Linked DNA regions of Xenopus tropicalis. The protein of the gene in region 1 interacts with the protein of each later gene in a pairwise test. Links are inferred from orthologs where the notes say so. Each region holds a gene or a part of one and is shown in the gene's direction. Other genes may lie near its edges. The genes, in order: sgta, eva1b and serpine1.

Region 1 (3,620 bases):
AGCTTCTCGAGCAGAATCCTGTATTGAAATCTGTTTTTCAAAAACTTTGAAGCTGAGTTTGCAGACTCAAGGCAATTTTGATATCAATTAATAGAAAGAGAAAGAATTACTGTCATGTTATTACTTTTCTTAAACCTGTATCTGTGTTTTAATTATTGTGGCCAGAGGTAGTTTTTGGTGTATGTACCATTAGATGAGCAGAGAATCTTGTTTTTCTTAGGCAATGAGCAAATGAAATTAGAAAATTTTGAAAGTGCTATTTCCTACTACTCAAAAGCTCTTGAACTGAACCCAACAAATGCTGTGTACTACTGCAACAGGTATGTATCTACATACAAGAAATATGTGTGTGTGTATATATCTCTGCTCTTCCCACGAAGAATTAAATAGCAGGCAAGCTTAACCTTTCCCGTGCCTGCCTGTCTGCTTCTAAGGGCACTCCCTCCCCCACCATTACACATAGACAACGGAGCTGAGTTTGTCACACACCGCTGAAAGCAGAAGGGGCATTGCAGGTTTGTGACTGGGCATATTTATTCACTTGGGAGGCATTTCAATTAAAACCCGGAAGAGGGGAACAAACATGGCTGCTCCATGGGTCTCATGCTACCATAATTATGAAGCGAAAAAACTTTGCAGATTTAGGTTCTAAGGAATTTAAAGCTGATACAAATTAAAACACAACAGCAGGTGTAAAAAAAATGTTCAAGTGGCTGTCCATAACACTTTAATATTTAATTTAGAAATTTCATACATATATATATATATATATATATTAAAATGTACTGTTCTGTTCAGTAATTTGTGCCTGTTTTTGTCTTTAGTAACATTAGTAACATATTTTTGCACACAACTTTTACATAAAAGCTTCTGGTTTCATTTGTCATGTCATGTATCTGCAACAGTTGCAAAACAAGGCATTATTAATCACTATATTGCGTGTCTTTTTACACAGGGCTGCAGCTTACAGCAAACTGGGCAACTATGCTGGAGCTGTGAGGGACTGTGAAGAGGCAATTACAATTGACCCTAACTACAGCAAAGCTTATGGCAGAATGGGGTATGTTCCTGTTTAAGTTACTTTACCTTACAATTATGGAAGAAATGTTTTTAAACCATTCTTTTTTAATATTTTTAGACTGGCACTTTCAAGCTTGAATAAACATGCAGAAGCTGTAGGTTTTTACAAACAAGCCCTGATACTGGATCCAGACAATGAAACCTACAAATCAAACCTAAAGATTGCAGAACAGAAAATGAAAGAGCTGCCCAGCCCAGTGAGTATTCTTTGTTTATCCTGTGGTGGGGAGATCTGTTTTTATAAGTAATCTAACAGGATCTTTAATTTCATCTAGATGGCTGCTCCTGGAGGTTTTGATTTGGCTGGCTTGCTCAATAACCCAGGCTTTATGAGCATGGTAAGTATCCTCTTTAGTGTTTTTATCAAGATTGTATTTTCTTCTCTTAATTTGAGAATAGGGGCATAATATGGAGCTAAAATTGTCATTATATAGATGTTTTATATATTTATTATTAATTTAATTAATTTTTGTACAAAAAAATGCTTGAGATGCTTGAATATATTGGTTCACCGTCATTTTACTTTAATTGACTAGTAGTCTTATTGTGCAAAAACCAGCACCATCTAAATTGAGCAATACACAAAGATGGTGTACTAACATTTATAGAATACTTATTGTTCTAAATCAGTGCTGTCCAACTTCTGTTGTACCGAGGGCCGGAATTTTTCCGGCCTACGTGGTGGAGGGCCGATAATGGAAGCCAGTTTTGACCACTCCCCTTTTTGAAACCGCACCCACTTGAAACCACACCCATGTTATCACATGACCATACCCATATTAATGGTTGTAGTACAGCAAAAACCTGCCATACTCTGCCTGCCCTACCCTGCCTGCGTGCCATACTTTCACTGTGTGTGCCATTCTTGGCTGGTTTGTGCCAAACTTGGCCTGTGTGTGCCATACTCTGCCTGCCCTACTCTGCCTGTGTGTGCCATACTCTGCTTGCCTTATGCTGCCTGTGTGTATGGCACACACAGGCAGCCTACAGTGACACAATGCTGGCACTGCTCCTACAGTCTGCACAATAACTATATATTAAAATTTTTTATTTGCAGTACCAGCTCAGTATATGTTCTTTTTGTAGTGTGCAGGGATTATTTGTGGGTTTCTACTGCTCCTGAGGTGTGAACAGGGGAACAATGGGGGTGATTACAGCCTGAGCCTGAGGTGTCAACACTGCAGGGGGAACAATGCAGAGATTAAAAGGTGTGAACAACTCAGGGGATTACATGTTTAAACAATACAGGGGGATTACAGCCTGAATCTGAGGTGAGAACCATGCAGGGGGCCAGCTAATCTCAGTACTGATACCATTTAAAGTTTACACAAGAGTAAGCCATCAAAGCAGCCAGACAGGTGGGGGGCCACACAGAGGGGGGTCACGGGCCGCATGCGGCCCGCGGGCCGCCAGTTGGACAGCACTGTTCTAAATCATCAAGTCCAGTGTCACCAAGAACAATTGTGTACAGTGCAGATTTTCTTTTCTCTCTCCATCTGTCTGCTATAAGTCTAAAAGCCTTTGTGCATGTAGAACTTACAGCATTTTCACTATTATGTCTTTTCACTGTAGGCGTCAAATCTTATGAATAACCCCCAAGTTCAGCAACTGTAAGTTGTATTACATTAAGTCTTTACATTTTTCAGATTTAAATTGTACAGCTATAGGAAGTGTAGACAGTGAGATTCAGTACACAGCTTTTTTCTAACCACACATTTAGTAAATAGGCTCTTTATAATAGACTTGGGGCATTATTATTTTAAACAAAAACTTTATCCCCAAACAATGTAGGTCTCTATAAAAATATAATGCATAAACAAGCTCATGTGTAAAACCCTGCTTCATCTAAATAAACCATTTTCATGAAAATATACTTTTTTAGTACTATAGGCTATTGGGTACTGCTAAATAGAAAATTGTCATTTTAAAAATTAAGGGCCACCTCCTGGAATCATAGGATTCACAGTGCACACAAACAAACCAAGGCACACATACATGGTAGGCCCCATCAGCCACACTTCTTCCTGTTACAGTTAGAGCTGCATTAGTTCTGGTCATGTGATCTCTGAGGGGGCACACGGACCATCACTAAATAGTGGATCAAGGGAAAGGATGTAAAAGGGTAATATTTACTGATATATATATTCCAGTATGGCGAGTTCTTTAATAGATAACATAATGTAAACTTGTGCTGGTTTATAGTTAGTTAAGTATTAATTCTGGGGGTATAGTTTTCCTTTAAGGTTTGCCTGAAATCTGTTTTGCCAGTGAACATGACAGCCAATATGTGTGGGGTACAACTGAAGATTTGGGTTTAGGATGAGGCTACTCGGATTTTCTACTACACCAACTGAATTGAACTGATACCATTTCAGCCATGTATTAGCATATTAAAGGAGAAGGAAAGTCTAAATCACTGGGGGGTTCCAAACGTTAGGTACTCCCATTGATTGTAATAACTTACCTAAAAAGGGAGAAGAAAGAAAGAGGATCACTTGCCTGCAGTAACCTCTGGGCAGTTCAGTTTTCTCCCAACAGGA
Region 2 (3,757 bases), on another chromosome or scaffold:
AAAACAAGGGTGAGCTAAAGGCAATTCCAAGGGTCTAATCATGTCTTTTTTATTGGTCGAAATGTGGAAGGACAAGGAAATGCCATCATTTGATCAAGCTTTGGGTGTCTGCAGGATGGCCCTACGGTGGGGCCCCTCAGTCTGTGCAAAGAAGAGAAAGCCAGTTAGGTCAGGCATTTACTTGATATATTAACAGCAAACCACAGTTTGGTGCTGTTGAGGGGACTGCTTAAATAATGTTTTAATAAAGATTTGACCTCTCGTCTCTTAATTTGTATGCATTTGTTTTGTTTGGCAACCTTAAGACACGCCACAGTTAATGACAAGGCATTTGTAGCCAAAACAGTATTAATCAGCAGACTTTTGGATGTTCCTTGAAAGCTCATTATTGTGCAGAAACCATAACATGTGTGGTTAAAACATAAATATAAAAGTAATAAATTATACAATTGCCCCCCTAGGTAGCATCCCCCAGTCTAAATAAAAAGAATGAGATAACTAATTATGTAATCACAGTTAGTTTTACCTTTAATTGATGAGTGAAACAACTGACAGTGTAATGTTTAGGGCACATAGTTTGAAACAGCAAATATCAGGTAGAATTGTATTTTTTAATTTCCTGTTGAGCAGAAAAGCTTTGTGTGCATAGCACATCTCTACACTTCTGTCTGCATTTGATGTTGATGTGTAGCATCTCTCATTGAAATCAGTGAAACTAAACCCTTATGTTTCTGTGTTCTTGTCACAACGTGATTCTTGATTGTCCAACAGCAGCAATATGCCACCAACTAATAAAATATTTGTATGGTTCAATTTACAAAATTAATTATCTAAATAGTATTAGAATTGTATTTTTTAATTTCCTGTTGAGCACAAAAGCTTTGTGTGCATAGCACATCTCTACACTTCTGTCTGCATTTGATGTTGATGTGTAGCATCTCTCATTGAAATCAGTGAAACTAAACCCTTATGTTTTGGTGTTCTTGTCACAATGTGATTCTTGATTGTCCAACAGCAGCAATATGCCACCAACTAATGAAATATTTGTATGGTTCAATTTATAAAATTAATTATCAAAGCAGCCCTCATTGTTGTGCTATGCCTAAAACTGACTATTTAGTAAAGGAAGGGTAGAAATCTAATATAGACGGTATAGTGAACAGCACATGTAGTTAGAGGGCATTAGTTCCTACATGTTTGTGTGGTACTGTTGATAGGAAAAGGTAAATGAGAAGAGGCTGTGCGGTTTGGAAAGCCCGGTTAGCTGGCTTGTACTAGCTCAGTTCCTGTAAGCAGCCAGGAGTTTATGGCTAAACTACATCTGGATGGAGGGGAGGGGGACGGGATAGAGGCGGAGGGCGGGCTGTGCTTTCATTACTCTCACAGTCCCGCTCAGAGCAGTTGGGACACATACTCGTCTCGGACTGGAAAGTCAATGGCTGCTGCATCGCAATGACACTGCCACACAAACAGAGCCCGGCATGAAGAGACACAGTATCTGTACAGAGGGAATCTAAAAGGGATTTCCAGCGTTACAGTCGCAGCCATACCAGGATACCCTGCAGTTAAGTTTCACAGGGTGAGTACTGAATATATGAATATATGTGGAGAGGTGGAGCTATTCTGCTGAGATAACTATATTAATTGTTCTCGGAATATATGCTTATTTTTAGAATATCCTAAATGAAAACATATAATTGAGAGAAAAAACTTTATTATAAAAAAGTTTTTTTTCCCCCAGTAACCCCTTCTTAAGGGGTTAGAAGACCCTAGTACATTTTTTAACATAAGTTTGCCTTCTTGACACTTATTTGTGTGAAATATACAGCACATTGCTCTGGGCTTATGTGGGACCCACACTGTACAGGTATAGGACCTGTTATCCAGAATGCTCGGGACCTGGGGTTTTCTGGATAAGGGATCTTTCCATAATTTGGATCTCCATAACTTAAGTTTGCTAAAAATCATTTAAACATTAAATAAACCCAATAGGCTTGTTTTGCCTCCAATAAGGATTAATTATATCTAAATTGGGATCAAGTATAAGGTACTGTTTTATTATCACAGAGAAAAAGGAAATCATTTAAAAAAATTAGAATTATTTGCTTATAATGGTGTCTATGGGAGATAGCCTTTCCGTAATTCTGGATAACGGGTTTCCGGATAAGGGATACCACACCTGTATGTAGCAAATCTGGGAATTTATCTCAACTCAATTACTGTGAAACAGAAGTGCGCTGAATGGATAATGTGAAGGCCAGCTAGTCACACACATTAATGATAGACTTATTCATGTATATATCACAGCATTCAAACCAATGTATGTAGAGTGGTGCAAATTTATAGTGGTATTCGGGTGCATTTATGTTTATGGATATCTTTCTGAGGGAACATGTGACTTTGTATCTACAACTTTATGCGACTGGATAAAAAATTGTATTATATGCGGTGTGAATGTTAGTTCATAGTGATAGTGTGACCTGACACATTTGGTATAATTAAATCTATTTGTGGCTAGTTGCGGCTGCAACTCACCAGTAGATAGGGTTCACTTACAGTGGCTACTTCTCAGGAACTGTACAAGCCAGCGTTACAGGTTTCATTTTTATCAAGCTGGCAGTTCGAACCATCAATATGGTAGTTCAAGATGCAACTATATATGCCCTGAGCATACGGAGGACTATTTTAAGGGGCTTGTGATTTGGTAGCTAGGGGATTTTCCTTATTTCTATATAGTAGTGTGCAAGTTCAGAAAGTATATATTATAATCTCTCTGTTTCTCTCTCTCACTCTATCTCTCTCTTTCTATATTTTATTTAGTATGTATAATATTTTATGTTGAAAAAAGGTATGTCTATGTGGGAGGCTGCGGGAGTTGTTTTTGTCCCCTCTCAGTCATTGCAATATTATGGTCTTCCAGTTCTCGGTTTGTGACAGATAGCAGCTGTACTATGCCAGGAAAGGAAAAGGGTGACGCCCAGCTGTCAGGGCATGCATCCCAGCATACATCCACCCAGGACTTCCAGACAGCTGCAGGGGGTGAAAAGACACTCTTGTCACATAAGGAAGCACTTCACACCCATTTGATCAGCTGATCAACTCATTCACAAATAGTTTTGAAGTGGTTGCTCCCAAAGGAGGTCAAATCATCAAAGGATGCCACAGTTCCTAATGCTTGTATGAGATGAGTAAGGGGTGTCATGTGTAAGTCAATATCCTTCCAGTGAATTAAAGCATGCGTGAGCTGGAGTTTTTTTCTTTAAAAAAAAACAAAACTTTTTTGATAAGGTGAACTACACTGTGTAGTTATTTGGAGAATTGTATGTGGTCTGATGTAGCCACTATTGCTTTATTGGAAATAATGAGATTAAGGCATCATACAGTCATACCATCATATAGATTACAGGATTTCTAGACAAGTCAACCAGTTGGAAATCTGCCATGTATCATTATATTTTTGTTTTAAAATATATTGTACGGTGTAGAACTCTATCATTTTGTTCCATTTGTAAGGTGGCACAGTGTGGTATTAGGTGTTTCAGTGTTCCTCCTTACAAATGCTTTGTTGTTTCACATAAGTTATACAAACATACATACATACATTCATACATACACGTGCCTGACTAAAACTGGAATCAGAAAAGTGCAGAAGCTTACCTTAACAAATCCTTACACAGTGAAATGGATAGTCACAGAAGGAATTTCTTGAGGTCCACTTCTACACGAGTTCTGTCTCTGAAGGCACATGGTGAAAGAA
Region 3 (3,757 bases), on another chromosome or scaffold:
CTCCCATAGACTCCATTTTAAACAAATAATATAGAATTTTAAAACTGATTTCCCTTTTCTCTGTAATAATAAAACAGTACCTGTACTTGATCCCAACTAAGATATAATTACCCCTTATTGGGGGCAGAACAGCCCTATTGGGTTTATTTCATGGTTAAATGATTCCCTTTTCTCTGTAATAATAAAACAGTACCTGTACTTGATCCCAACTAAGATATAATTACCCCTTATTGGGGCAGAACAGCCCTATTGGGTTTATTTAATGGTTAAATGATTCCCTTTTCTCTGTAATAATAAAACAGTACCTGTACTTGATCCCAACTAAGATATAATTACCCCTTATTGGGGGCAGAACAGCCCTATTGGGTTTATTTAATGGTTAAATGATTCCCTTTTCTCTGTAATAATAAAACAGTACCTGTACTTGATCCCAACTAAGATATAATTACCCCTTATTGGGGCAGAACAGCCCTATTGGGTTTTTTTCATGGTTAAATGATTCCCTTTTCTCTGTAATAATAAAACAGTACCTGTACTTGATCCCAACTAAGATATAATTACCCCTTATTGGGGCAGAACAGCCCTATTGGGTTTATTTCATGGTTAAATGATTCCCTTTTCTCTGTAATAATAAAACAGTACCTGTACTTGATCCCAACTAAGATATAATTACCCATTATTGGGGCAGAACAGCCCTATTGGGTTTATTTCATGGTTAAATGATTCCCTTTTCTCTGTAATAATAAAACAGTACCTGTACTTGATCCCAACTAAGATATAATTACCCCTTATTGGGGGCAGAACAGCCCTATTGGGTTTATTTAATGGTTAAATGATTCCCTTTTCTCTGTAATAATAAAACAGTACCTGTACTTGATCCCAACTAAGATATAATTACCCCTTATTGGGGCAGAACAGCCCTATTGGGTTTATTTCATGGTTAAATGATTCCCCTTTCTCTGTAATAATAAAACAGTACCTGTACTTGATCCCAACTAAGATATAATTACCCCTTATTGGGGGCAGAACTTGTAATCAATAAGCTAAAAATAGACTGGTTTTGTCCCATCTGGTTTAATACACTAGACTGTTTATTTACTTTAAGTTGCTATGAAGTCATAACATTAACTTTGCACTTCTATGAACTTATCACCCATCTCCAAATAAATGGGCTTTCTGTGTATTAGACAAGTGACCTGAAATATTAAATAAACTATAACCATAGAAACAAGCTTAGGCTGGGGTGGCTAGAGGGACAGCGTCAGAATTTTTTCCAAGGAATTCCTCTGGCTGACAGCGGGCTCGCTGTGCCTTTGTACACACAGACATTCTCACACTTGCACAGACAGACAGAAGCACTCTGCTCCCATTGGTCGCAATCTAGAGGCCGATCCCATTATTCATCTTTGGCACTCTAGACTGAACATGTGGTTTCCACATGTGTTGGGAAACACCCCGGCGATGTCAGGGGTAGGAGGAAGTATAAATACAGGGCTACGTGTGAGCCTATTCCACAGCAGCCAGAAGCTTGCAGGGAAACAGCTGCACAGAAATAATAGCCTTGCTGTCATCTACAGAACACCAGGAGCAACAGACAAAATGTCACGCAACTTAAGGCGAGTCCTTGAATCTCTTGGAGTGATATTGTTGCCTTACTCTCTCGTACTTTCTCCTGAACTTCTCCTTATTCCTCTCCATAGGTGCATGATCTCTCTCTCGTACTTTCTCCTGAACTTCTCCTTATTCCTCTCCATAGGTGCATTATCTCTCTCTCGTACTTTCTCCTGAACTTCTCCTTATTCCTCTCCATAGGTGCATGATCTCTCTCTCGTACTTTCTCTTGAACTTCTCCTTATTCATCTCCATAGGTGCATGATCTCTCTCTCGTACTTTCTCTTGAACTTCTCCTTATTCATCTCCATAGGTGCATGATCTCTCTCTCGTACTTTCTCCTGAACTTCTCCTTATTCATCTCCATAGGTGCATGATCTCTCTCTCGTACTTTCTCCTGAACTTCTCCTTATTCCTCTCCATAGGTGCATTATCTCTCTCTCGTACTTTCTCCTGAACTTCTCCTTATTCCTCTCCATAGGTGCATTTCTCCTGAACTTCTCCTTATTCCTCTCCATAGGTGCATGATCTCTATCTTGTACTTTCTCCTGAACTTATCCTTATTCCTCTCCATAGGTGCATGATCTCTCTCTCGTACTTTCTCCTGAACTTCTCCTTATTCCTCTCCATAGGTGCATGATTTCTCTCTCGTACTTTCTCTTGAACTTCTCCTTATTCCTCTCCATAGGTGCATGATCTCTATCTTGTACTTTCTCCTGAACTTCTCCTTATTCCTCTCCATAGGTGCATGATCTCTCTCTCGTACTTTCTCCTGAACTTCTCCTTATTCCTCTCCATAGGTGCATGATTTCTCTCTCGTACTTTCTCTTGAACTTCTCCTTATTCCTCTCCACAGGTGCATGATCTCTCTCTCGTACTTTCTCTTGAACTTCTCCTTATTCCTCTCCACAGGTGCATGATAGTCGTCTTACTTTCCCTGGCATCAGTCACGTCTGCCCAAAACAGAGTGTCTCGTGTGGCTCAGAAAGGCACAAGTTTTGGGTTACGCTTGTTCCAAGAGGTTCTTGCAGACCAATGGGGAAAGAACCTGGGCTTCTCGCCTTATGGGGTAACTTCTGCCTTGAGTGTCCTTCAGTCGGGTGCAGCTGGGACGACACTGGATCAGATTCGCAAAGCTCTAAATTATGGACATAAAGGTACGGTGGGCAAACACTCAATACTCAAATATGCCTAATTAGCAATTAGTAAATATAAAAAACCTGTAGATAAAAATACTGGTGTCACTGGGCAAATCTGCCTGCAAAGTAATCCATCCACACCAATCAACAATTTTCTATAGAGGTAGAATAATCAAAGTTACTATCTTTCCTTCCTGTGCAGAATGGGCAGTGGCCTTGGCACTAAATAAACTTCGGGAGCAGATTTCTGGACAGCAAAAATCTGCTGAAGACCCCAAGCCGGTACACATTGCAGATGGTCTCTTTGTACAGCGGGACCTGTCGCTGACCCCAGGCTTTCTCCAAAGATTTCAAGCAACTTTCCACCGACACCTCAGCCAGGTCAATTTTACTGATGTGGCCCAAGCCAAGGACATCATAAATCAATGGGTAGAGAACAAGACAGATGGTAAGTATTACTATTACCAATTATATATATCTCTTATGTTGGAGTATATATTAGCAATCAACTGTTCTACTGTCAACCTTATTTGCTTCATCGTTTACCTTATTTACAAAGTCAAGAGATGGAATATATAATTACTTTCAATATTAAAATAACAAATAGCTGGGCAAGACCACCTTGTAGATAGTTAGACCATTAGAACATTCATAGGACCAGGTCAGCACTATTCTTTGATTAGTGATCTTATCGCCTTCATACCCTATAGCACAGGGGTCCCCAACCTTTCTTACTCGGGAGCCACAGTCAAATGTAAAAAGACTTGGAGAGCAACACAAGCACCATAAAAGTTCATGGAGGAGCCAAATAAGGGCTGTGATTGGCTATTAGGGGCCTCTATGCACCCTATCAGCTTACAGGGGCTTTATTTGGTAGGAAATCTTGTTTTTATTCAACCAAAACTTGACCCCAAGTCAGGAATTCAAAAATAACTCCCTGGTTTGGGGGCACTGAGAGCAACACCCAAGGGGTTGGGGAGCAACATGTTGCCCCTGAGTCACTGGTT

What was found.
Region 2: the proteins of sgta (region 1) and eva1b interact in binary tests that used the Homo sapiens proteins (3 or more experiments, as listed by UniProt). The two-hybrid records come from large-scale screens. The link is inferred for Xenopus tropicalis from reciprocal best matches to the Homo sapiens genes SGTA and EVA1B.
Region 3: the proteins of sgta (region 1) and serpine1 interact in binary tests that used the Homo sapiens proteins (3 or more experiments, as listed by UniProt). The two-hybrid records come from large-scale screens. The link is inferred for Xenopus tropicalis from reciprocal best matches to the Homo sapiens genes SGTA and SERPINE1.

The regions. Positions count from the first base shown.
Region 1 is NC_030677.2:99,263,082-99,266,701, forward strand, and holds part of sgta (small glutamine-rich tetratricopeptide repeat-containing protein alpha), read left to right. Parts: intron 1-220; coding exon 221-320; intron 321-955; coding exon 956-1,060; intron 1,061-1,138; coding exon 1,139-1,277; intron 1,278-1,355; coding exon 1,356-1,418; intron 1,419-2,652; coding exon 2,653-2,690; intron 2,691-3,620. UniProt on the Homo sapiens protein: Co-chaperone that binds misfolded and hydrophobic patches-containing client proteins in the cytosol. Mediates their targeting to the endoplasmic reticulum but also regulates their sorting to the proteasome when targeting fails.
Region 2 is NC_030678.2:85,067,796-85,071,552, forward strand, and holds the start of eva1b (eva-1 homolog B), read left to right. Parts: upstream 1-1,425; 5' UTR 1,426-1,579; intron 1,580-3,757.
Region 3 is NC_030679.2:143,401,232-143,404,988, forward strand, and holds the start of serpine1 (plasminogen activator inhibitor 1), read left to right. Parts: upstream 1-1,502; 5' UTR 1,503-1,599; coding exon 1,600-1,616; intron 1,617-2,523; coding exon 2,524-2,768; intron 2,769-2,952; coding exon 2,953-3,198; intron 3,199-3,757. UniProt on the Homo sapiens protein: Serine protease inhibitor. Inhibits TMPRSS7. Is a primary inhibitor of tissue-type plasminogen activator (PLAT) and urokinase-type plasminogen activator (PLAU).